Neodiprion lecontei: one gene and its partners. The protein of the gene in region 1 interacts with the protein of each later gene in a biochemical or structural test. Links are inferred from orthologs where the notes say so. Each region holds a gene or a part of one and is shown on either strand. Other genes may lie near its edges. The genes, in order: GTP-binding nuclear protein Ran, importin-5, importin-11 and probable nuclear transport factor 2.

What was found.
Region 2: the proteins of GTP-binding nuclear protein Ran (region 1) and importin-5 form a complex in vitro, tested with the Homo sapiens proteins (2 studies listed by BioGRID). The link is inferred for Neodiprion lecontei from reciprocal best matches to the Homo sapiens genes RAN and IPO5.
Region 3: the proteins of GTP-binding nuclear protein Ran (region 1) and importin-11 form a complex in vitro, tested with the Homo sapiens proteins (2 studies listed by BioGRID). The link is inferred for Neodiprion lecontei from reciprocal best matches to the Homo sapiens genes RAN and IPO11.
Region 4: the proteins of GTP-binding nuclear protein Ran (region 1) and probable nuclear transport factor 2 form a complex in vitro, tested with the Homo sapiens proteins (3 studies listed by BioGRID, with this or other methods). The link is inferred for Neodiprion lecontei from reciprocal best matches to the Homo sapiens genes RAN and NUTF2.

The regions. Positions count from the first base shown.
Region 1 is NC_060261.1:38,788,103-38,792,809, forward strand, and holds GTP-binding nuclear protein Ran, read left to right. Parts: upstream 1-1,962; 5' UTR 1,963-2,117; intron 2,118-2,177; exon of another isoform or gene 2,178-2,515; intron 2,516-2,655; 5' UTR 2,656-2,688; coding exon 2,689-3,120; intron 3,121-3,284; coding exon 3,285-3,500; 3' UTR 3,501-4,198; downstream 4,199-4,707. Other genes in the region: syntaxin-1A, read right to left, coding at 77-163, 1,630-1,662. UniProt on the Homo sapiens protein: GTPase involved in nucleocytoplasmic transport, participating both to the import and the export from the nucleus of proteins and RNAs. Switches between a cytoplasmic GDP- and a nuclear GTP-bound state by nucleotide exchange and GTP hydrolysis.
Region 2 is NC_060264.1:23,246,916-23,251,653, reverse strand, and holds the start of importin-5, read right to left. Parts: upstream 3,042-4,738; 5' UTR 3,014-3,041; coding exon 2,879-3,013; intron 1,977-2,878; coding exon 1,827-1,976; intron 1,366-1,826; coding exon 1,139-1,365; intron 1,053-1,138; coding exon 956-1,052; intron 926-955; exon of another isoform or gene 796-925; intron 673-795; coding exon 107-672; intron 1-106. UniProt on the Homo sapiens protein: Functions in nuclear protein import as nuclear transport receptor. Serves as receptor for nuclear localization signals (NLS) in cargo substrates.
Region 3 is NC_060265.1:24,089,101-24,097,124, reverse strand, and holds the start of importin-11, read right to left. Parts: upstream 6,002-8,024; 5' UTR 5,823-6,001; intron 4,972-5,822; 5' UTR 4,963-4,971; coding exon 4,840-4,962; intron 4,641-4,839; coding exon 4,540-4,640; intron 4,451-4,539; coding exon 4,337-4,450; intron 4,165-4,336; coding exon 3,758-4,164; intron 3,683-3,757; coding exon 3,419-3,682; intron 3,332-3,418; coding exon 3,176-3,331; intron 3,082-3,175; coding exon 3,041-3,081; intron 2,895-3,040; coding exon 2,712-2,894; intron 2,540-2,711; coding exon 2,428-2,539; intron 2,342-2,427; coding exon 2,121-2,341; intron 2,023-2,120; coding exon 1,858-2,022; intron 1,770-1,857; coding exon 1,577-1,769; intron 1,331-1,576; coding exon 1,093-1,330; intron 1,029-1,092; coding exon 932-1,028; intron 868-931; coding exon 605-867; intron 378-604; coding exon 236-377; intron 93-235; coding exon 1-92. Other genes in the region: 40S ribosomal protein S6, read left to right, coding at 6,137-6,142, 6,668-6,872, 6,944-7,089, 7,719-7,919. UniProt on the Homo sapiens protein: Functions in nuclear protein import as nuclear transport receptor. Serves as receptor for nuclear localization signals (NLS) in cargo substrates.
Region 4 is NC_060264.1:3,873,275-3,879,487, reverse strand, and holds probable nuclear transport factor 2, read left to right. Parts: upstream 1-1,737; 5' UTR 1,738-1,918; coding exon 1,919-2,026; intron 2,027-2,108; coding exon 2,109-2,180; intron 2,181-2,847; coding exon 2,848-2,946; intron 2,947-4,114; coding exon of another isoform or gene 4,115-4,228; exon of another isoform or gene 4,229-4,272; intron 4,273-5,283; coding exon 5,284-5,397; 3' UTR 5,398-5,680; downstream 5,681-6,213. Other genes in the region: sodium channel protein Nach, read right to left, coding at 39-180, 287-432. UniProt on the Homo sapiens protein: Mediates the import of GDP-bound RAN from the cytoplasm into the nucleus which is essential for the function of RAN in cargo receptor-mediated nucleocytoplasmic transport.

The DNA of each region.
Region 1 (4,707 bases):
TCATGTGTATAATCGTATACTTTCGATTCGTCGATTTCTCTTCCATTCCTCTTTAATGCGAATTTTTCAAACTCACCTCCGCGAAGAATTCCGTCATGAAATCATCCTGCCCTCCCACGTTGACGGACACCTCGTCCGCCACGTCGTCATCGTCCGACTGAGCCTGTGAAAAAAGTAAAAATTTTCAATTATCGTCATAACGTACACGTGCATTTTAAATACGTAAAAACTGTCACTTCAACGTCTCTGCGGAGAAAATTTTTCAAGGTATTGCGAAGAAGAGGAAGCTCGATTCGCTCACGCAACAACCAGCCGAGTAACCGGTGATAAGAATTCTCAACCGATAATCAGTTTCCGGTCAAGTCAAGAACTGATTTCACATTTTTCGTACGGAAAAGGATACGAGAATCATACTCGGAAAACCCTGCCAAACGAATGCCTAATATTTCTAACCCAATGCGCACGAATAATACGATAAAATGATATCCCGGAGCTATTATCGTTTCAGTGATAAAACTGACAAGTTTACTGTGTATTTGTGACGCCGTCGGGTATGTGGAACAGCTTTTGAAGGACGGAAGAATGTGCCGACGGCCTTCTCGGAGGATTTGACATTCGAGTTAGCACAGGGTTGTTTTTCATCGTGACTCTTTCTCTCGATGCGTAATCAAAGTACACAAGTTGTTTCTTCGCTGCAGTACCGTGCGAATCACCGATATAAATGACGCAAAGTTTTTCATCTACTGATCTAGCGTTGTTGTTTTGTAATTTTTACAGATATTCAACAAATCGGAGGGGTGAAAAAATATCTGGACACTAGGTATTGTACTCGGAATAACGGAACGATTGAGTAATCAACGGTACTGTGTACAAATGTGAGATAATACAGCTCTGTGTACAGATGTGTACGCGCACTGTGTCAATACGACGAAAACCGTTCGTACTTTCGTAGTAAACGATATTTACGAACATTTTCCTGCCAATTGATTGGATTCGGTGAATTAGCCGGAAATTGCTACAATCAAAAGAATACAAAAAAAAAAGAGAAGAGACGAATCTGATTCGAGATCTGATTAGAGCCGACTCGATATGGAGAGAACTAAGCGTCGTTTCCTAATACGGTTTGACAGTGGGAGGAAGAGAATAAAAAACGGAAGAAGGAAAATATCTTTTGTTACGAGATTGACAGGTAATGAAAGCGACAAAGGGGTGGGGCATAGGCAGATAAGATGACAGCTCACTGGCTGCATCATAGAGATATATGGAGATATATATATATATATAGAGAGAGAGAGAAGGAGAGAAGTCAGTCAGCAGCTGAAATAGGCCGATGACGCGGACCATAGACACCTGTCACCTAAGGATACCGGCGAAGCGGTTGCCAGGACGTAGGTGATAAGTGTCCTGGAGCGATTTTTGCACGTTTAAAACGACGTTAACCTATCGGGCTCAATTCGACGCATTGTTTTTCATCCGGCAACCGCACTATCGGGGTGGGTCGAGCCGTGACAAGCGTATCTCGACTGGCATCGTATATTCGTACGTAATGTAACACGTTACGAGGTTGTGAACGGTTGTCTAGCGGCTCGGCAGCAGGAGCGAGGTGCGTGTAATTGTGTATAAACTCACCGCGACGAGGGCCGCTAATCTATCCTTGGTCATGTTTTATCACGTGTCGCGAGTCACTGGGCGTAGAGCAAAATCCACCTAGTAAATAATCCCATTCACGATTTTATCCATGTAAGAGGAGGATGCACAGCCACTAAAAACTAAGGAAACGGACACACTAACCGCGAGACACGATCATAAAATCGATACGTCTCGCGATTCGCCTGCTTCTGCAGTGCCGTCGCCGATTAGTGCGCATGCGCAGCTGACGTCAAAACGGCGCACGTCAGATGTCGCTTCGCCGATTTATTTCTCATCAGCACAACCGTACCGTTTTTTATTTTGCAAACACACCCTGTTCATAATTGTTTTCTTATTTTTTCGCTTCTAACCGCACCACTTTCATTCACAACCTATCGACCCTCGCGTCCGACGAATGACGAGGTCCTCTACCGCCGTTCGCCTACCCTGAGGAACGCCATTGTGAACCATAACGACTGTGCGAGACGGTGAGTTTTATCGCCCATTTTCACGTACATCGTATTATACCGGGAAATTCCCTTGCCGCTCTGAAATATTCGACATTTTTCACCAACGGAGCACGGATATATTTCGAAAAACGTTGAACTTGAGTCGGTTACCGCTTCTCGGCGATACCGGTCTTTTAACATCAATTTCCCTTGATACAACCGAGCGGCGCCATTTCTACGCTTAACGAGATCATTTCTCGACCGTTTAATGCCGGCGTGGAACGCACGCGGCGGAAACCGAACCGACCGGCATCTCTGTGTCGCGATAAACTCCGAAAGTTCAGGCCGGCGTTTGGCTTTCGGTTAGGCATCATCGCGATCCTCGATCCGTCTTCATAGTCAGCGTCACTGTCTGTACCGATGATACATATATAGAGGTTGGATTAACAAGTCACGTTTCTCGCGCGTGATTGTCCCACGTAGACGAATATTTCGTTATAGTTATTTCTCGCCACGCGGATCTTCGCTTCCGCCCTGTATTTTACCTCCTTTAATCCTTGGATAATATTGTTCACAGTGAGGCAGGAACGTTGGAACAATATCAGCCAAGATGACTCAGGAACCCGATATGCCCACCTTCAAGTGCGTCCTCGTCGGCGACGGAGGTACGGGCAAAACGACCTTCGTCAAGAGGCACTTGACGGGTGAATTTGAAAAGAAGTACGTTGCGACACTGGGCGTCGAAGTCCATCCCTTGATATTTCACACGAATAGAGGGCCGATCAGATTCAACGTTTGGGACACTGCTGGGCAGGAGAAATTCGGAGGTCTTCGAGACGGTTACTATATCCAGGGACAATGCGCCGTTATCATGTTTGACGTAACATCTCGTGTCACCTATAAAAATGTACCAAACTGGCACAGAGATTTAGTTAGAGTCTGCGAAAACATTCCTATCGTACTATGCGGCAACAAGGTTGACATCAAGGACAGAAAAGTCAAAGCCAAGAGCATCGTATTTCACAGGAAGAAGAATCTTCAGGTATGTTGTTCTTTCTGTTGATGCAAATTTACGCAGACTCCCTACCTCGATCTCATAGCTGCTTCTGTTGTGTTCGAACATCTGTGCAAACTGTTTAAAATAATTTTGATACTTGAAATGTAGAAAAATGCAATTTGTTGATATTTTGCATTTGATTTTAACAGTATTACGACATCAGTGCGAAGAGTAATTACAACTTTGAGAAACCGTTCTTGTGGCTGGCTCGCAAACTGATCGGAGATCCTAACTTGGAGTTCGTCGCTATGCCGGCTCTCCTGCCACCTGAAGTCACAATGGACCCACAATGGCAGCAACAAATTGAAAAGGATCTCAAAGAAGCTCAGGAGACAGCGCTCCCGGAAGACGATGAGGACCTTTAGTTTCATTACCATCAATCAATGCTGAAGGCCTTACTGCGAGGTCTTGGCGAGCGCCTTACTGCACGTCATGTGCTCGCCCTTAAATGTTTAATGCGAATAAAATAATTATATAAATATCGGTCGAAGGAACTTTCCTTTTATGAAAATTCCTTTATCATTTTTCTTTGTAATTCATATCGCATTACTTGAGTATCCAACTAAATAGAAATTTTTTTTTTTTAAGTATTCTGATAACATTGTAGTTATTCGATTATGAAATTAGCGCGTTTTAAAGTTGGATATTTTTGTGATTGTTCACTTTAAAATTTTTTATTGTGAATAATGCATCGACTGCATAATTTTTAACGTCTACTTTTTTCTGCAATCATTTTTTTTCTTGTATGCTGGTTACAATTGTTGTATTTGTGGATACTAAAATACATTTAACTTATTTAATAATCAATGGTTTTGCTTTATTTTCAAAATTAGAACCGTATACTGAAACATGTGTTAAATTCTTGACTTATTTTTAATGACAAGGATTAATTATAACATGAATCGTAATATACACGAAAGATACTTTTGCAAAGAAAAAGTCCTTCGATTGCATAAGAATGCGTGTTAGCTCACTGTGAACTAAACTGAATTTAAAATTACAAGAAGAATGGTTCAAAAAAAAAAGTAACAATGGTATTTATTGGGAGTAACCGGCTACTTTAGGGATTGTCTGTTGTCTGCGAGTGTGTGCTTGAAAGGGTAGATTATTAATAAATAATTACTAAACTATGTAATATCGTTCCATGAATTGTACTCGTATGGACAGAGTATGTTTGCGTCTTTCCACGTTCTTGAGGACTGTTTACTATTTTTATAAGCGAAAGTGTATGTATGCTTTGTTCGGCTTGAATTTAAATTGTAACAAAAATTACCTACAGTTCTTTTTTCTTCTGTACTCGAACCAGTTAATTTATTCTATTCGTTTTTTATTTTTATTTTCTTTGATTAACGTAAATAGAAAATTTGTGTGACAGACTTCTTTTCACAAACTGTGTGGAAAATTTCGATTACTTCTTTTTGTAACAATGTTAACATCACTTTAAACATTACATTATGTAGTAGTATTGAATTTTTGAACGTTGTAATTTCGATCAATTCTTCCTTTCGTTATCAATCAATAGAGAAGGATTTATGCGAAGAGAAAATTACACCGCTAATACATGTGAAATAA
Region 2 (4,738 bases), on another chromosome or scaffold:
ATCTGTCATGGGTGTAACGCTGCTATACACATTAATCGAACATAGCTGCTGACTCCACATGATGTGTACATCGATTGCAAAGATAAAAAGATTGACAAAATCTCACCTATATTTCCAGTCTGTGTTACTAAGCATCGTTGGAATGTTCTGTACAATTTGCGGCAGCATCGTCTTGCCGCCAAGGCCACATGCCAGCCTGTCTAAAGCGCTCTCAGCAACGACGTTATTGCTGTCGTTGTCTTCTTCGATAATCTCATCAGAAAAGCTCCACTCCTCATCTTCCTCAAGGTCGGTCATCATCTTGAGAACGAGCGGCACCAGAGCGGCGATGTACTTACCTCCAACTTTGCGCACCATGGCTGGTGCGGTTTCGGCCAGTGTAACCAAGACTTCAAGCGCTAGCTGCCGCCAGGAGTCTCCCATCTCTTCGTTGGAGAATATTTTCATGCACATCTCCATAATGTTTTCCAGCTGGGGTCGCAGGAACTTTGGTGTCGACTCTGCCAGGTCGATAAGAACCTTGATCAAAAATTCATCATCTTGCTTCTCGACTGACTGCGCCATGACCTGGACCACTGCTGGCAGCAGCTCTGAGAAATGTTTCTGGATGTTTGTCTCCTTCTCGTGCAGCATGATGAAGGCGCCGATCGCCCGGACTGCTTGAAATCTCACCTATATTTCCCCGTAGAGTATAAGCGATGTTAAAAAAGTTTGCTTCGGAATATATATACATGTACGAAAATAGAATGAAAGTAAGAAAAGCATTTGTAAATAATCAGTATTTGTATATGGATCATTTATTTGCTCCGTATCTGTCTGTAATTTAACACTCAACAAGTTACAGTCATCAGAAAGCAGATATAATTTTGGGAGAAATTGTGAATAGTGGATACAATTTTACATCCGCTAACGTATCTTCCTCCCGATATATATGCATTATATACATGCGACTCACTTCGTAATTCGTTGCATCCAGCACAGACTGCTGTAACATCTGCTTTATTAGATCCAAGTAATGTGCTTGCTGGTTTCCGAAAACACCAGGTACAGACCTAAGTAAAAAAAATAGTACATTCAAGTTATAGTCAGTTGTTTCAGTGCCAGAATACGTCTCAACTTAGAACAAAACAAATCTTACGTGAACATGCGGAGAGCGCTCTCTTTGAGGGCAGGGACTGGCCCATTGGCACACTGGAATAGGAACTGAAGAAATTCCGGCCACTGATTGTTTCCGTCATCATCGATAAGATTTCGTGCAACTTCGGCAGCAACTTCGCATACCTTACGTCTGATTGTATCAGCTTGTTCCGTTTGAACAGAGAGTAAGATTCTCTCCTTCAGCTGAATTTGAGCTTCTGGTGGAATCTAAACAAGAAATTTTTTGAGACTGTTGTAGCAGCGACATGATGTGTGGTCCAAAGTGATTTGAAATATTCGTGTGGTGGTGTATGTTTCGAAACTATGACTACGCAATGAGAAACACGCAGCCAACTCTCAGAAACGCCTTACGAGGGCCTCGTTATCCCAGCTGTCAAAACGACAGATGGGAGAAAGACTGGACTAGCAAGTTCATCTGCCATGGGTGTAACGCTGTCAAACTCATTAATGGAAAATGACTGCTGACTCCACATGGCAAGCTAAAACGAGGATGCAAACGCAACACTTATGCCCATGGATATTTTTATCAAACTTATTCTAGGCAAATGTCAAATGGTCAATGCAGAAAAAATTAGGCAACTAGTTTCTAGTCAACAAGACTAAGTTGGTCAGAGGCTTTGCTTTGCTGATTAGTTTGGATGATTGAAACCAAGTGATATTTCACTTACTTTGGGATAAAAATCCATGAACTCTGAAGAAAACAATCTTCGAAGTAGGACTGCAGCCATTGCGCGCATTTCCTCGGCAAGTGTAGCATTGCAGATCGAGCCAAGCAAGAATGTCACCTTATTCTCCACTGGCAGGCTGTTGTACGCTTCCTAAAAAAACAAGGGGTTACAGGGGTTACTTATAAACTGATCTGCGCTAAACAAATCATGTCTTGTCTTTAAACTATGCATCACGTCAAGTTGAAAATCAAAGATTGAAATGACTTCTATCTCTCACATATCGTTGTGCATACATATGGTTCCTGACAGACACATATCCATGCACCTTCTGCGGTTCCTGTACGCACATACGAATAGGGAGTAAGAGTTTTTTATCAAGCCATCACGCAACATATAGCATATATCAATAGGCAGTATCACCAAGATCGTGTGAGTCTGTCATGGGCGAGGGACACGGTCCGATCATGTGGACAGAAGGCGAATTCGGGAATTGCGATGAGTAGTGAGGTGGATGCGCGAGGCGCGCGAATATCTCGCGACATGTACGTATATATAGACTCAGGGTGCGTGACTGTGCCAAATCGCGCGAAGCGCGTGGCTCGGGCAATGAATTGCGCGTCGGTGATCTTGAACGCCGATGATGCGCTTATTGGGAAATTGGAATCGGGGCTTAAGGGATACGGCGGCATGGAGGATGGCATGCGGCGTGGCCATGGCCGTGAGTAGGAGCGGTTTGGCGGGCCGCGCGGCACGCACCACCATTTTGACCTTTAAGCGAAAACCGGGCCACCTGTCAGGCCTCGAAGAGTCATTAAATATAAGTAGACGCGGCGAGGGTGTTGCGAGACGTGCCCGAGGCGGCGGCGTTGGGGCCAAAAAAGAGCGACGGGGACTTGCGAGACGACCGCATGTTAGCTTTTCTTTCGTGACAAACACGTTGCCGACAGGCTTGCAGCTGCGTTGTATCGCTTGTATTTCAAAAGCAACGACGTGTCCCGGTCGAACTGGGACGTCGGCTTCGCAAAGGGGAAATAATGGACGCCATTACGTACCTCGGCTTGCGTCCGGACATCGTTGTCGGTGCTTAGGAGTGTGTTTAAAAGCTGTTGGAACTGCTCGAGGTCTGCCGCCATTGTCACCGCCGAACGAATGAATCGCTGCGCAAGCACCTCCGAGTCGATCGTCATGCGGCGACACCGACTTGCCGCTAATACCACGTCGGAAAATTCCCCAGCTCATCGCGGAGAACTAACCGAGAACGCGATCTGTAACGCCACCTACCCGATCACCATGGTATGGCCAGAATTCCTCCAGATGACACTTCGGGGATTCTAGTTGGATGGGCTATGAAGTTCAAAATTTAGGTTCTCTTGAAATTCACTGGGGGCCTTTTCCATACTCAGGACAAAGACGATCGGATTGTGTTGGACGTTGAGTGAAGAATATAAAAACAGTTGCTATTATGGGCTTTGGTGTGACAAATGAAAATCGTCATGCGCTTGCGCTCCCTGAGATGTTCCGTTGACTGAAGAATATACAGTTGCCGTAATGGTATTTGGTGTTTAAGCCTAGGCCAGTACTTAGCCTGTGTGTACTTACCAACTTGTTGGCGATACAAGGAATTAATAATGAGAATAAATTTCTTCCGAAATTCGTAGCAAAACAGTGATTCAGTTAAAGTATAGGTACTCGAGAGAAGAATGTATACATAGATCATAAATCAGAATAGATCAGATGTAATAATGATGCAGAGACCGAAAAGTATGCTATAAGTATGTGCGGTCCATGTAAGATATTGATATGTATTACGATTAATACGTGATGCATACTATATATTTTATAATTTTCCAGCAGACAAACTTTATTATCTACAATAATACGGCTATAACATGAAAATAGAGGAGTTATTAATTTCGAAATGGGTTTCTATGCGACACACGCTCGATATATTCCATAACATCAATATTCATAATTATTCCAACAACTTTTCATTTGCTCTCTCGATCTTGAATTTTCGTAGACGTAGAATAGAAACGCTGATTTAGCTAGTCGCGAGTGAAGTATCTACGTTGGGTAGAGAAGCAGAATTGTTTCAAGAAGTGTTCGTATAGAAAAAAAATCGGAGTAACTGTAATACATCACGGATGCGCTAATTTTGATCGAGATGAAATGGATGCTCCGTATATGAGACAGTATTTAACGCAGTATCCTGATTTCAAGACCTAAAGAGGTGATTGTCGGCGATTTTTTTTTTTTTGACAGGGAGAGAAAGAACGAAGTTTCTTTAAACTTCGAGTGTATTTTAACACACATGTGAAGGGTACGAGCAAAAATTTTTATCATCCAACTATCGTAGAACGACAGCGTTATTAGCAGACCCGTAACTGAAGAATATATGTCTTTAGTCAACGGCTGACCATCGAAGGACCTAGCCGCTTGAATCGGCAGGAAAGATAACGTGCGTATTTCTTGTCTGTAATGTGTAAACTAAAATCATGATAAATCTCGTCATATCATGCATCATACATCATACATCATACATGGTATTAAAGTTCAAAACCATAGTTTGGATGATCGGATTTTCAGAAAGTGACGTCTCCTAAAATTTTTTTTCTCTTGACGTCATCGATCTACAGTAATCAGCTAGTCGAATTCGTCAGTCTGGAAACAACCGCGCAGTAGAGCGGACGTATGAAAATCGCGTTCCGCAGATTTCGGGTACCGGGTTCTCTACCTCCGGGATCCTGCGCTTCGGGTCCGCTTCCTCGTGCGCCTCGAGTTCCAGGACAAGTGCTCCGTAGTTTCTACGCTCCTGGTCCGCTACCTGGTGGAACGCAACTTTCAGGACAAGCGCTCCGTGGTTCCTGCGCTCCAGGTTCGCTACCTGGTCAAACTTGACTTTTAAGACGAGC
Region 3 (8,024 bases), on another chromosome or scaffold:
TACTCCTTGAGCTGTTGGTCAGTATCAGAATTTAGAGTGAGCATCATTTGATCGAACTGACTCTCTCCTACAAATCTTCGAAGCGCGATTAGCTGAAAATCAATCACATTCATTGTTAACGATTGCTGCAATATTGAAAATTGTCAATCAATGGAAAATCATATATTGTTAAATGATACATGGACAGAAATCGAGAAATACAAAACATTTTTTTGAGTATATATAATAGAATTACTTGAGCTTGAAGCGTGTCTTGCAAAGAGACACTGTGTACCGGATCTCCAAATGCTAGTCTTCTTCTTCGTTGTTCATGTTCCGTCTCATAATCTACATCTTCGTATTGCGAGGGACTTGGCTGATCACTGATCATCAGCGAGCTAAGGTCAAGTCAAACAACCGTTATAATACTTTGGATATTTTCAAAGTGTACATAAAATTAGTTGATTAATTCTAGAAATAATTTAATCGTTGTATAAACTAAGGTACGCATTTCCAAAACTGGTGACTGTCTTTGAGATAGAAAAATATATGCCATTTATAAAATCGAATTTTAATATAGAGAAAAATGAGGCATGCAAGAATAGAATAATTAATAACTGCCTACTCGATGGGACAGCCCATGTCGTCGATCTTTGTAATATCGTTCAAGGCTTCAACAATATTTGATACCATGCGTGGAAAATGTTGAAGAACGCAGGGTGGACTGTCAGCGCCAAGCAACGAGCATAGACCAAGTGCCAGCAGTTTACGTCTTTCTAATTGCGAGACAAGAGGCATTCTGTTTACCCAGATTGAAACCATTCTACCAAGAACTGCCTCTTCACTCCATTCACCGCCACCTACTTGTCTAGATAACTCTCCTATCACCTGAAATATAATATGCACAAATATAATGATTGGTCAGTTTTTAAAACTGAAATTCATTCATTACCTGTACAAAGATATCCCTGGATACTAACAAAACGCGAGCAACTATCGATAAATACATTGACATAACCATTGGGTATTCCTCGCCTTTGTAGACACTCCTGTAATGAAATTGAAATCAATATTTGGCAAAGTGATTTTTAGATGATAGTTTATAATACTTACTCGAATATTTTTGTTAATAACGGCTTGATGAGTTGTGCCCCCTGATGTGACAAAGCTCGTAAACACGTTTCGACTAGTCGCATTGCCATTACTATTCCTTCCGATCGTAAATCTCCTATAATTGAGCCCAAAGTAGCTACCACCACAGCTCCTCTATCACCCAGAAATTCTTGAGGACTCAGTAATACATACGCCTGTACTATGTACAAGCATAGCCTTAGGTTTTCCGCGGATCTTTCTACACAGAAAAATACGAAATTCATTGAATTTTGTTGTTCTTAAATAGAAGACGAGGTTTCGCGCATACATAAACGCGCTAATCATACTGCGGTAATATAATGTCTGAAGTACCGCGTAAAGTATAAAATACAGAAACTGATGGCTAGACATTGCACTTTAATGTTAACAATTGATGTATCGCAACCTGCCGCATTCTCTATGCTAGGCGTGCACACCTTGTTGATTTCACGATGGTATTACCGACCTAATAGGGCAGGCATATTTCTGAAGAGATCCATTATCGCAGGTGTAGATGCAGGGGCATTCTCCAGGAGTGCCAACCAGAGCTCTAGTCCATCCTCCAGTAAATAAACGTGGCCATCCTGTGTCAAGTCGCAACTCATCGCTACTACACCCACGACCATTGGCTGCAATGCAACGCTTTCAGATCCAAGAGCCTAGGAACAGTTTAATTATAGGAATACATATCTAAATGAACTTTTTTTTAAATCATATTTCACACTTCTGACTTGTTAACAAACCAACCTTCTCGAGGTGTACCAGGGTGGATACTATTGCACACCTGAGCATATTGTGCTCCTCTGATTGTTGCCACAGAGCTGGTATGTAGGCACTCAACGCCCCTACATGCGGTCTTATCCCACAGCCCACTCTCTCGATCATGAAAGATAATACATATAAAACATGCATCTGTAAATCGAAACATCGTTAGATCGAAAATGTTGATTGCATTAAACTTTCCTGTTGAAATTTTGATGCATGAGTATTATATGCTGAAAGCCTTTTACTTTTGTATCACACTCATGGACCTCCTTAAGCAAAGCAAACAGTAACGAAAATGCAGGTTCTAGGTAAGGTGAAAATTCGTCAGTATGAAATTGGAAGTCATCAATCGCCAATTTCAAGGCATCACTTGCTGCTAATCTTACTCCAAGATCTTCTTCAGGGTTCAGCGATTCTACCATCAATTTGTACAATTCAGGCCTCAGTTCTGGACTCAGTTTGACACCTGGGAATTGATTTATTTATTATAAAATTATCAGTTAGCCAAGTAGTGTAAATGAAAATATTGAAGCCCTTTTCCGACACACTCACCGGTCCACTGCCCAATGAGCCAACATACGCGTCTTCTAATTATCCTATAATTGTTGCTTACAACTTTCAATTCTTGTTTCAGTGTAGTTGAAAACCACTGATCGAAGTTCACCTGAAATGGAATTGAAATAAAGAACAAATCGATCAATCATTAGAAGGATAGTCCAAAAAATCGAATATAATGCAATGCGCGGTGAATAGTGACATAAAAGTCAGCATACTTTTGGACAAGATTTTCATTTATAAATTCTCATCAATAGATAGAATAATCGAATGTAAATTACCTCATCATATAAGTCAAATGCTGCAAGACCAACAGCATTATAAACAGCATCTTTCAGAAGAATGGCATGTAAATTATTAGGATCTACAGGCTGATGGTGGCTCTGCATTAGTTCCACTAATACAGATGCAAGCACATCCCTGAATTGATGGAAAACAGCCAAGAACACTGATTCTGTACATGGCTGTAATAAGTTAATATTGTTTAATCATAAACATGATCAATAAGTTTACTTATGTACACTTTTCAGATTTCAAGCCTTAGTGTATGCAATAAACGATTAAAACTAAAAGCTATATAGGGTATTATAAATTTAAAAAAATTATTTACCCTCAAACTGTATTTCCATGCCTCTCCGCCATCATCAACAACTAGAAAATAATTCAGTGCAGTGCAATGTAAGTTCAGTAATGCAATCTGGTAGATGTTAAGTAATAATTAAAATTCTTGGTGTTGCAACATTACCAAAGTTTTCAGGATCAGAATCCCATTGCTCTAAATCAGCTGGAGTTAAAACGAAATAATGTGTGACCAATCTTGAGCAAATTTCAGTCAGTGTCTCGACTGTAAAAAATTCCTGTCGTAATTGATATGCCCTCAGAGTAAGAGGGTTTTTTGTTTCTGAAGAAATGAGAAATTTCAGGTTTTAATTAGTGATATATCTAGTGTCTATAATATAAAACGCACAAAGTAGCAACTTCCACATGCCTTGTATAATTTTGGCAGGTCTGTAGTCACTGCATAGCAATATTCCTTTCATCAGGTTCAAGCACTGTATGATAAACCTTTCGAATGCCAATTCTTGGCCAGTTTCAGTGAAACAATAAAACACAGAGAACTCTAATGATGTAGGTATGAGTTCGACATAGGAGAATGGATGCACTTCCAGTACTCCTATCAAAACTTTAGTGAGGTGAATTATAAATTTATCGCACACATCCAATTGTATTCCACGTGAAATTAAAGTTTTCCCTAAAAATCAGATATTAAATAATGTAAAATCGAAATCTATTTGTGCATTTACGAGAAGTAAGTCAGAATACTTACTACACTCCAAGCTATTCCGTGCTCGATCAAAAACAACTTTTAGAAACATCATAGCATCTTGAGATTCGGACGGTTTGTTAAATGGACTGACAACCAATTTTCTGAGGATTCTCAGTAAAAGCAAAGCTTTTTCTAATGCCTCTTGAATTTGATTTGGACTAGCTGAGTTCGATGCTAATACCAGAAATGATTCGGTATAAGTGTTCCATAAATTTAAAATGAAATTAAACACGTTCGCTGTTAATTCCTGAAACAACCTTCGGTCTGCAACTAATCTTATGGATGCTAAAGTTTTGACAACGTGATGAAGTGTCAACAACGCTCTATGCTGCGTCAATGGATTCTCTCCTCTTACTCCTTCTAAAAGAGTTGGTACCAATGTGCTCCATTCTCTGGGACAGTCATACCTATGGAATCAAAAGAATTTCATAAGAATCTAAATAGATTTTGTGTGTTGGTGCTGCCTAAATTCAGTTACAACCAAAACCATACTCATATATTTGCAAGTAATGCATTGTAGTGCCGTTCGAATATGAAAACTAGTAGAACTGGTTATGAACAAAATGAATCAAGGCTCACCTAGCTATCTTCGCTATTAAAACTGCCAGCTGTACAGCCAATTGATTAACAGGCTCGTTGAAGTCAGCAATCAAATGTTGTCGAAGAAACTCTTTTTCATCTGCCGCTATTTCACTGTTCAAAAACATCATGTTAATTATGTATATATGAAAAGTGAGTGAGGAACACCAAGTTTACTTATAATAACAAGAATCTATACTCACTTTGGCGCATTTCTTCTCCAGTATCGGTCAACGCCATTCTTGAAATACAATATAGCAATCCACCTTACATTAATGTCCAAGGAATGATTCGAAAAAACATTCTGTAAACGAAATCAAAATTTTATCATACTGCACAATTTTAAGTGCGCTACTTTGCAGGTACCTCAAATTTTTTGATACTGGTGTACATGTGCAATTCAAAATTTACATGTACATTTTTCATAGATTTAGCATGCCTCTGCAGATCATTTATAGCTGATTCGAAGAATTTTCAGATAGTTAAAGGATTCAGAATCTTACAAATAATGCTGTGTAAAATCCACGTTGTGTTTCCCATTCTTTCAGAGTCTGTTCAGCTAGCTTGAGTACATTTGGATCTTGGCTACCAGCCTTATGTAAAATATCCACAACTGCTGCATCCATATCGTTGCTCTGAAAAAATACAATGAATTCTTAAGGATTTGCATGTAAACAGAAAAGCAATTACCGAAGAAAATGATTTTAAAATTCATATACTCAATGAATAATTCAAGATTATATTGCCGCTCATATAAGTTTAGTGATCAGATAATATTTACCCTACAACTTTTACTATTGTAAAAGTCTAAGGATGGTTATTGTCTGAGAAAGTAACTATATAAATAAACTGCAGCTTGCAAGTAATGAATGTTATTTTTGGACATGCACATTATAACTCGCAAAAATATTTGTAACTCCTTGTAACAGCTGGTGGCAGTACTAAGATATATATTATTTGTTATATAGATTAATGTGCAAGAGGATATCGAATATATTAATCATCGGACATGAACACTGCGTGTGCAAGTTAATGATTCGAACGAACAACACTATATCTTCGTTTTTTCACGAATTATACGAATTCTGTAAATGAAATCAAAGTGGCTTACCATTTAAAGGAAAAGTACGATCATGCAGATTCATAAAGAAGACAAAGAATACTGAGAATTTGATCTATTTTTACATCGAAATTCTTTTAAATCACTCATGACTAGAAGCTTAAATCGAATAATTCATAAACAAATGTATGCATAAGCGTTTGGAACAAAATTAATTCCCCGCTCGTGGAATAACATTGTTTTATAAATATCAGCATCTGGGATTCATCGTAATCTATTGCCGAAATTTAGGCGGATTTGGTAAGTTAGATTGTTTTTCAAAATTCAGAGTAATTTCGATGTGCGGTAAAGATTGGGTGGCACGGGAACTAACCTATACACAGTATTTTGTTGAGAAAAAAACGTGTTACAAAAGTACCCGATTACCTTGCTCAGATGCAATTGATTGAATTACGTTCAAAACACTCCATCTATTATAGATATTTACGTACATACAAATTTAATAAATAAGAAATTTCCTCTTCAAGTTCTCTATTAATCGGAATGTCACAACGCAAGTCGGCATTTAGGATTTTGGGCAAAGCCAAAGATCTTTTATTTTACACCGTTGGCGACTGTGATTTGACCGTCGGAGGTCACGTGGCCTCCACCCTCGAAACTTCCGGTAAGCGCACTCTGCCGGTGTTCACCGGAGTTCTTTCTTACTACATGGCTCGTGGCGCGGCATAGTTCTTGTCACCATGAAGGTAGAAATCCAATAATATCTCAAGAATCCCTTAATACTCCAGAAAAATAAAGTGCGCTAATTGAAGGGCGATATACAAGGAATAGTTCTGTGCAGATATGGCTTATCTTTCTTTATTTAACCGAAACAAGTTCATTTTTGCAAATTTTGTTGATTAGTGCGGGACACGGGGCTTGTATATCGTTGTGGCCAAACCACAATTTATTCCTTATATTAAACTACGCTATGATAAATTTAACACTCAAAATTATATCATGTCACACGTATTTGTAACAAACGCAATCGAATGTCACTGATACACGTTTCGAAATATATTACCCGTCAGTCGGAATCTAACCTATAAACAATTCCCCATGTAGCCCCAAATGACATACCTATTTATATTGAATTTTGGACACTACATCGCAGTCATTGTAGGCCATAATTTAATAACGCGTCAATTGGGGGTTCCATTCAGCGATCGATATTGATCGTAAATTTACCAATTCGACTTTCATTGGTCAATATACTTGATAATTTTTTTTAGCTGAACGTGTCGTTTCCGGCAACAGGATGCCAAAAACTACTCGAAATAACGGATGAGCACAAGCTCAGAGTTTTCTACGAGAAGCGTATGGGTGCTGAAGTAGAAGCTGACACACTAGGTGACGAATGGAAAGGATACGTTGTACGCGTAGCTGGTGGAAACGACAAGCAAGGTTTCCCCATGAAGCAGGGTGTCCTGACCAATGGTACATGATAATTCCACTGTTGGTAAATCCAGTGCTCTGACAATATTTAGCAATTATTTCTTTTTTTGCAGGTCGTGTACGTCTGCTTCTATCTAAAGGACATTCTTGCTACAGACCGCGTCGTGACGGTGAGCGTAAACGTAAATCAGTGCGAGGTTGTATTGTTGATGCCAATCTCTCAGTTCTCGCACTCGTTATTGTGAAAAAAGGCGAGCAGGTAAAAATGGCTTTCCTAAATCCAATATATTGTCATTAACATTATGCATCAGCTAACACCTGAATCAGTTTAAGTTAATTTCTATTGCAGGTTAGGAACAAGTAATAGAATTTAGTAAATTATCTAAGAATATTCATTAATGTAGGTAATTTTCTGTTTGGTATAGTGAGGCAAAATATGATTTTTAGTTGGTTAGGGTTTTTCCTTTCCAAATTGGTGGATATCATAATAATGATTCTTGATGTTTATTTTTATTCACTCATGTTTTACAATGTTGCAAATCAACTTTTTCATATACATTAATTTATTATTTTACATCTGAAAATCTTTACATCTCTTTATTTTGTACAATCTTGTGGCAACTCTAATCCACGCTCAGGCAGTGTCCAATTATTACAAATTCTATTGGGGGCGTTCATGTGCGTGGAAAATGAAATGGTCATTTATAGATTTGAGAAATTGTGTATAATCTTTGCACTCTATCTTAGTGTACAAATGACACAAAATACCTTTTTACTTGTATTTGAATACAATCGATTACAATTATTCATGAATTAGATCAGGTTTAGCCAATAAATTACTTTCATGCGTTGTTTATTCAATTTCAAGAGTTTTTTTTTTATAATTAGGAAATTCCGGGATTGACTGACAAGAATGTACCTCGTCGTCTTGGGCCTAAGCGTGCAAGCAAAATCCGCAAGCTGTTTAACCTGACTAAGGATGATGACGTACGTCAATTTGTAGTCAAACGGCCGGTGCGCAAGGAAGGTAAGAAGGAGCGTCATAAGGCACCGAAGATTCAGCGTTTGATCACCCCACTTACGCTTCAGGTACGACATATCACCTTTGCACTTAGATCTATGAAATTCCAAAACTACTAGCCATGCTCAGGCAGTGTCTAAGTGAACCAACATATCTTAGAAACGTTCATGTGC
Region 4 (6,213 bases), on another chromosome or scaffold:
AAAATTCACGTAGATATTATGAGAGTACAGTAGCTCACCTCCGTGAAAAGACTGACAATATCGTCAGAAGTCAACTTGGTAAATTCGTTTGTAACCTGTTTACTGGATTTTTTGGTGATACCAGAAAATAGCCAGCGCCATGCGTAGGGATTTATTTTGGAACCAAATTTTTTACTGTGTCTAAAAAACGAAAAAACAAAAATTTTACCTACTCAACGCACCATATCCAATATACAATTTTTACAAAACCTTGACACATTTTATTTTTTCAGTTTTTAAAACATACAAAGAGTTAGCGGTGATCAGGGATTTTGGAACGGTACGCATGCAAACGCTAAGCGATGGTAATTTCGTTTGCCAATTGAGGTACGTGCTTTCTATGGTGAACGCAACCGATCGATTCAGAAAAGCATCCAACGAATTGTTGATCATTGTTATACAGCCCCACCAGCACAGAGCACAAGTGACTAGCCAAAATAATCTGCGATTCAATAGGAGAAAAATAATTATGTCCGCTATTGTATATCAACACTTGAAAAAAAATTCAACGTAGTGTACCTTTCAGTCCAATGTAGACCATCTTCGACTACGTACCGAAGTCCATGGACATTAGAATTACTTAAATACCGTTTTAGAGTAATCCATGTTTTGGAAGTACGAGTCATTGCTTCAATGCGCGAATGATTTTTTTTATCATAACACAGATATTATAAAGCGAAGCATACACGCAATTAGCGCATCAATTATTCATAATGAAAACATGTCTCGTACGTGACGAATCAGTATCCGTTGATATTAGCCGTGATAGATCGCAGTACGTAGCGTGTTTCCCGTCCTAACAGAAACACAGATTTCGAAATCAATTGTAAATACGTACAGCATTTAAAATGTTGTAAGATTTTATTGTAATATTCTACAAACTTTAGTCTAGACTTCCATAATCTAGACATAGATAAAATCAACGAAATTGTAGCGAATTAGAATTTAGGTCGAACAGCATCTAAAAATAATAGAACCAGACTTCGTCTGTATAATATAGCGCTGCAACTATTATTTTCTCTAATTACGTATTAAACCTTTTTCTTTATGCGAAAAATTTTCTTTTTCGTATATAAATATCAGCAATAAACTATCTTGTTTATAGTGCATTTAATACATGCATAGCAGCTCCTAATTCTCGGCTAAGTTTGATTTGGCAAAGTGAAATAATATTTTCGAAAGCACAGCTTAGATTAAGCGTAGCTATAAGAATTCACGAGGTACGTGTGGTACGTAAAACTAAACTTTCGTACTACAGTTGACATTTATTCTGAAGTCTATTTCTTCTTCAAAAAAATAAAATTCAACTCGCAAAATGATTTTTATTATAAATTGATTCAGAGCCTTTACAGCCTTATGTCAGGCAACCTGCATCACATTATTGTTCACTTTTCGACCAGGCAATCCAGGCGCTCTCGTCAAGTAATAGACGTTAGTAGATAAGTGTACAATAAAAATGAAGAAATTATTCGTTTCCTTTAAACTGCTCAAAAGCATGAAGGAATCTAATTTCGGTAATTATGTATCCGTATTTTCATTACCGAAACATATGGAGAGTGGAAAACAGGGCATACAGACATGTCGTGCAGTTTTCGTGGTTTGAACAAGTTCGAGAGGTCGATATTCGAGATCAGCGTTCGATTATCGTTTGCTACGAGAGTCTCGAAGTAGGTATCACCGATAATTTTGGTATCGCTGATCGTTTCCTCCCCGCTTTTGGCAAGTGGCACGAGGGGATGTCGAACGGCGTTGTTTTGTCCCTTTCCTAGGATTTTTCTCGAACTGTTAATCGTTGGCGCGGGTTAAACCACCTAACCGAATTATAGTTGTTATAGATATATATTTTATAATAGGTACGAACGTAAATAATAACGTGATAATGGCGTTAAACCCGTCATACGAAGCCATCGGGAAGGGCTTCGTCCAACAATACTACGCGTTATTTGACGACCCAGTTCAGAGGCCGAATCTAATAAATATGTACAATGTGGGTATAACGTATATCGCATAACCTCCATACATGAATTACTATTCTTACGCAAAATCGTTAACTCGCCTAACCCTTACAGACAGAATCGTCCTTCATGACCTTCGAAGGATTACAGATTCAAGGAGCTATTAAGATCATGGAGAAGTTGACTGTAAGTTGTAATAAAAAACTATTGATACTTCACCTCGCCCAAAGCAGATGAAACTATCCTATTATACGTACTGTTCACCCACCACCCCAACCCAATCTACGATTAATTATTTCTCCCGTGTCCAAGGTGACACTCTATGGTATTATATTGCGTTAACGAGTCCTGCGGTTCCCAGTTTCACGCCTCGTCGGATGTAGTTTTAGGATTTCTTCAAAGAATCGGTAGACCGATATTTAAAAGATCTAGCATATCCACTGTGTATACAAAGTTGGCCTTGACTTTACATTTGTTTACTTGTTGTCGATGAAAGTGGTCTGTCATAGATTAAATCTTAAACTTCTTTTATCATAATCCATTCAAACAAAGCGTGTAAACCTTGACAGGAACTGTTCTCAGAAAGTAATCGTACTGGCTTCGTTTCATGCTCAGTTGAGTTGAGAGCTATTCAGAAATAATATCCTTTTAATTTGCAACTTCCGAATCATGTCAGTTTGAAATTAACAGTTTAGTGGGCACCACCCTCTGATCACAAATGTTTTTTATTGCATTTCGATATATCTTGACACTAAACTGGTGTGATAACAGTAGAAAAAAGTTGTTATAAAAATATTTGTTACACATACTGTTTTATCTTCAACTGCGATAATTGCTTTTATTTTTATTTCAGAGCTTAAGTTTTCAAAAAATTAATAGAATAATAACTGCGATCGACTCTCAACCTATGTTTGATGGAGGTGTATTGATCAACGTCCTTGGAAGGTTGCAGGTAAACTGATTCCCCTGTATTTCACATAATGGCACTTGTTTGATTATATTTTATTCGGTTTAAAATATCATATGTGAAGAAATTCGTGACCAGGAGGTTGATTGAAGATGAAGTTAGTCGAAAATTCCGGTCAGGTAAAGAGAGTTTAATTATTTGGAAAACGTAAACATGTTTAAACGTTTCCGACGTTTCGGCTGGGCCCTGCAGAGGCCCCTGTGTTATAAATTGTTTACATATTCTTTTAATTTAATTTCACAATTCAATATTACTCACAGAGGATCATTGAAATCGAGTGGAAGAAAATATAAACAAATAAACGATCAGGTAGTGAATAAATAAAAGGAACAGTTGCTAAATTTGAACTGATTTAGGTCTGAATGCATTTATAAATTTACCATTTCATTACAGAAAAGCTATGTAACTAGCTGTGTATCTATTCCGTTGATTATAATTATTATCGCTTGCTTTGTACAATATTTGTTCATGTATTTTTGTATTTTGCCTTTCATTTACTTACAAATTAAGATTTTTTAGCTATCATTTGGAATTATGATGCGGAATTGGCCGTACATTTGGTAAAATAGTCCAAGTTTCCACTCTACTGCTAATTCTGTTAAACTAGAATATACATTTTGCCATAACAATATCTATATCTTCAATCAGATTGTCGGTTATGATTGTATTTCTCTGAATACATAGTTTATTGTTACCTGTGGCGAACAAATTAGCTTGATTTGAGCTTCAGTTAAATCGTTCGCTGTAATCTATTTTCATGGTAGAATTTTGGCGGTATAAAACTTTTTGACCCTATTCTATATTTGTCTATAATAAGACAGTGTTTTATCTTTTATTGCTGCTGAATTATTTGCGAAATGCACCTTCCAATGTTTGGGCATTCAGTTTTTAGGATATATAATAACATCTGGCCAGGTTGATAATGTTAACGTTTTACATCCATCCGAAGTGGGGTCAATTCATCTTTAAACAAATTTTTTATCACGTGCGTATCGTATTGCATGAAAAAAAGGAATTTTTCCATATCGGTATATAAAGGTGTAAAGATGTTATCAATCACTGAGAAGTGTTTCATCACCTATCCTTAATATCTATGTCCGTGTACCGAAGATCAGACATTGAACTGAGTCAGTGATTGTTGATGATTGGGCAGACTGACGAGGATCAGCCCCACGCGTACATCCAGACATTTGTACTGAAGGCTATTGGTACCAGCTTTTTCGTGCAGCACGACATCTTCAGACTCGCGTTGCACGACACTGTCTAGATGTCTGACATCGTTTGTCCATCGATCTTCATGACGGGGCACAGGCAAGCTCAGCCTTCTTCTATCGTTCTGCTTTTTATTTCTGTTAACGCAAGCACCCCCTGGCTTGTTCTGATTCGCATCAACTTATTATTTTATTTTCCTTTTTAAAAAAGATTGTTTTAATGGATTGTTTCAACACGTATCTTCTATTTTTTAGCATTCCAATCTGGCAAGCAAATAATATTTCAGTATTACCTCAGTTCTTGGGTTTAGAACAGTTATCCGTTTATCAATCATTTTTTTTTTTTTTTTACGGAGCTTTCTTATTAGAAATATCAATTTTTCGTTCCACTTGTAATAAACTCTATCATGCTACTAGCGTATGATGGCGCCTAGAAAATTGTAAAACAACACTCATAAAAGCACTGTTGTCCTGTAACTAAGGGTACGCTATTTTATAAGTGATTAACATTGGCCTCATGTTCAACTAATATTTTTCATTGTAATAAGCACAGACCTGTTACTCAATATTGAGCATCCTCAACCCAGACGATTATAAATAAAATAACTGCCCTCATCCTATAATGATCTGATATTCTATACTAATATCCGATCAGGCAATCGTAACACTTTCCTCATGTTGCTGGAAAACTTTAAGATCTGTAAAAGAGAAATTCAGTATACTTTTGGTAAAAACTATTAATTTCACAGTGTTGATTTCTGTTCTCTTCAGTCTCGATTATAATTTCGTTTTGTTTTAGCATAACGCTCTGCATTTGATGCTGCGTAGACGTATTATGACGCTTCTGCTTATGCTTGCATTAAGAAGTTGTGAAACTATACATGATTTATTATCCATATTCAACTCTATTATATTTTTCACTTGCAAATAATGCCTAAAACAGATCTTAGCTAGCAACTGTCCTTAAAATATGTTAAATAACAGAATTTTTATATACATGGCGTATGAGATTAGCATTAGGTAAGGTTCTGTTAGAATACAGAAAAATGTTCTTCTTTATACGATCGAGAAGAAATTTATCTGTACAATATTGATTGAATTGTCATTTTAGGCAGACGAAGATCCACCACATGCATTCTCCCAAATATTTGTGCTCAAGCCACTGGGAAATTCTTTCTTTTGTCAGCACGACATCTTCCGCCTTGGGATACACGACACTGTGTGAGATCTCTCGCTACTTTCTGACACGCTCGATGTAAAAGATGATTGGAACAAAGACAGAGAAACAAAGAGAAGAAATATTTAATAAAACTCACCAGTGAGCCACGCTCGCTTCCAGCTTTAAGATAAGTGAGCCAATAATCTTTCATTTTGAAATTCTTCGTCATCGCACACTAAGCGCTCATTATCCTCAGAGATACCACAGTTTTTATACAAGGAATTTCCTGCTTATCTTATACAAACGTGGCCACAACCATCTTTTAACAATAAACAGGATTCAATAATTATTTTGTTTATTCAATTTCCTCATTCATAATGCTATGGCTCCCATATTCTCAGTTACTTTTCTTTCATCTTTCGTATACTATCAGAACCTTTTTTTTTTTTTTCATCCCTCGCCATTTTTCACTATTTTTCCTCTATGAATAGCCTTAAAGTTATAACGGCCGTTAGCGTGAAATTCTTCTGTAGAAAATATTATTAAGTTTAAAATCCAAAAGTAAAAAAAAAAAAGATATCCTGTAATACCGTATTGGCCTATGTATTTTTATAAATAATTAGAAATTGTACGTTAAATATAAAATATGTATCATCCTATAATCATATGAATGAATTCACGACCTGTTATTAAGTGACGTACTGCTTTTATCCGTGCAGAATAATAATCATCTGTATTATTGCAAGTTTCTCAATGATCGGAATCCTTTTTTTTTTTAGAGTTACTTAAACCTTGCACAGGTCAAGTTTCTTCTGATTCTGGTACCATTCACCTTTATCTGTTTTATAATAATTAACTTGAAATGTTTTCAAGCACTGGATT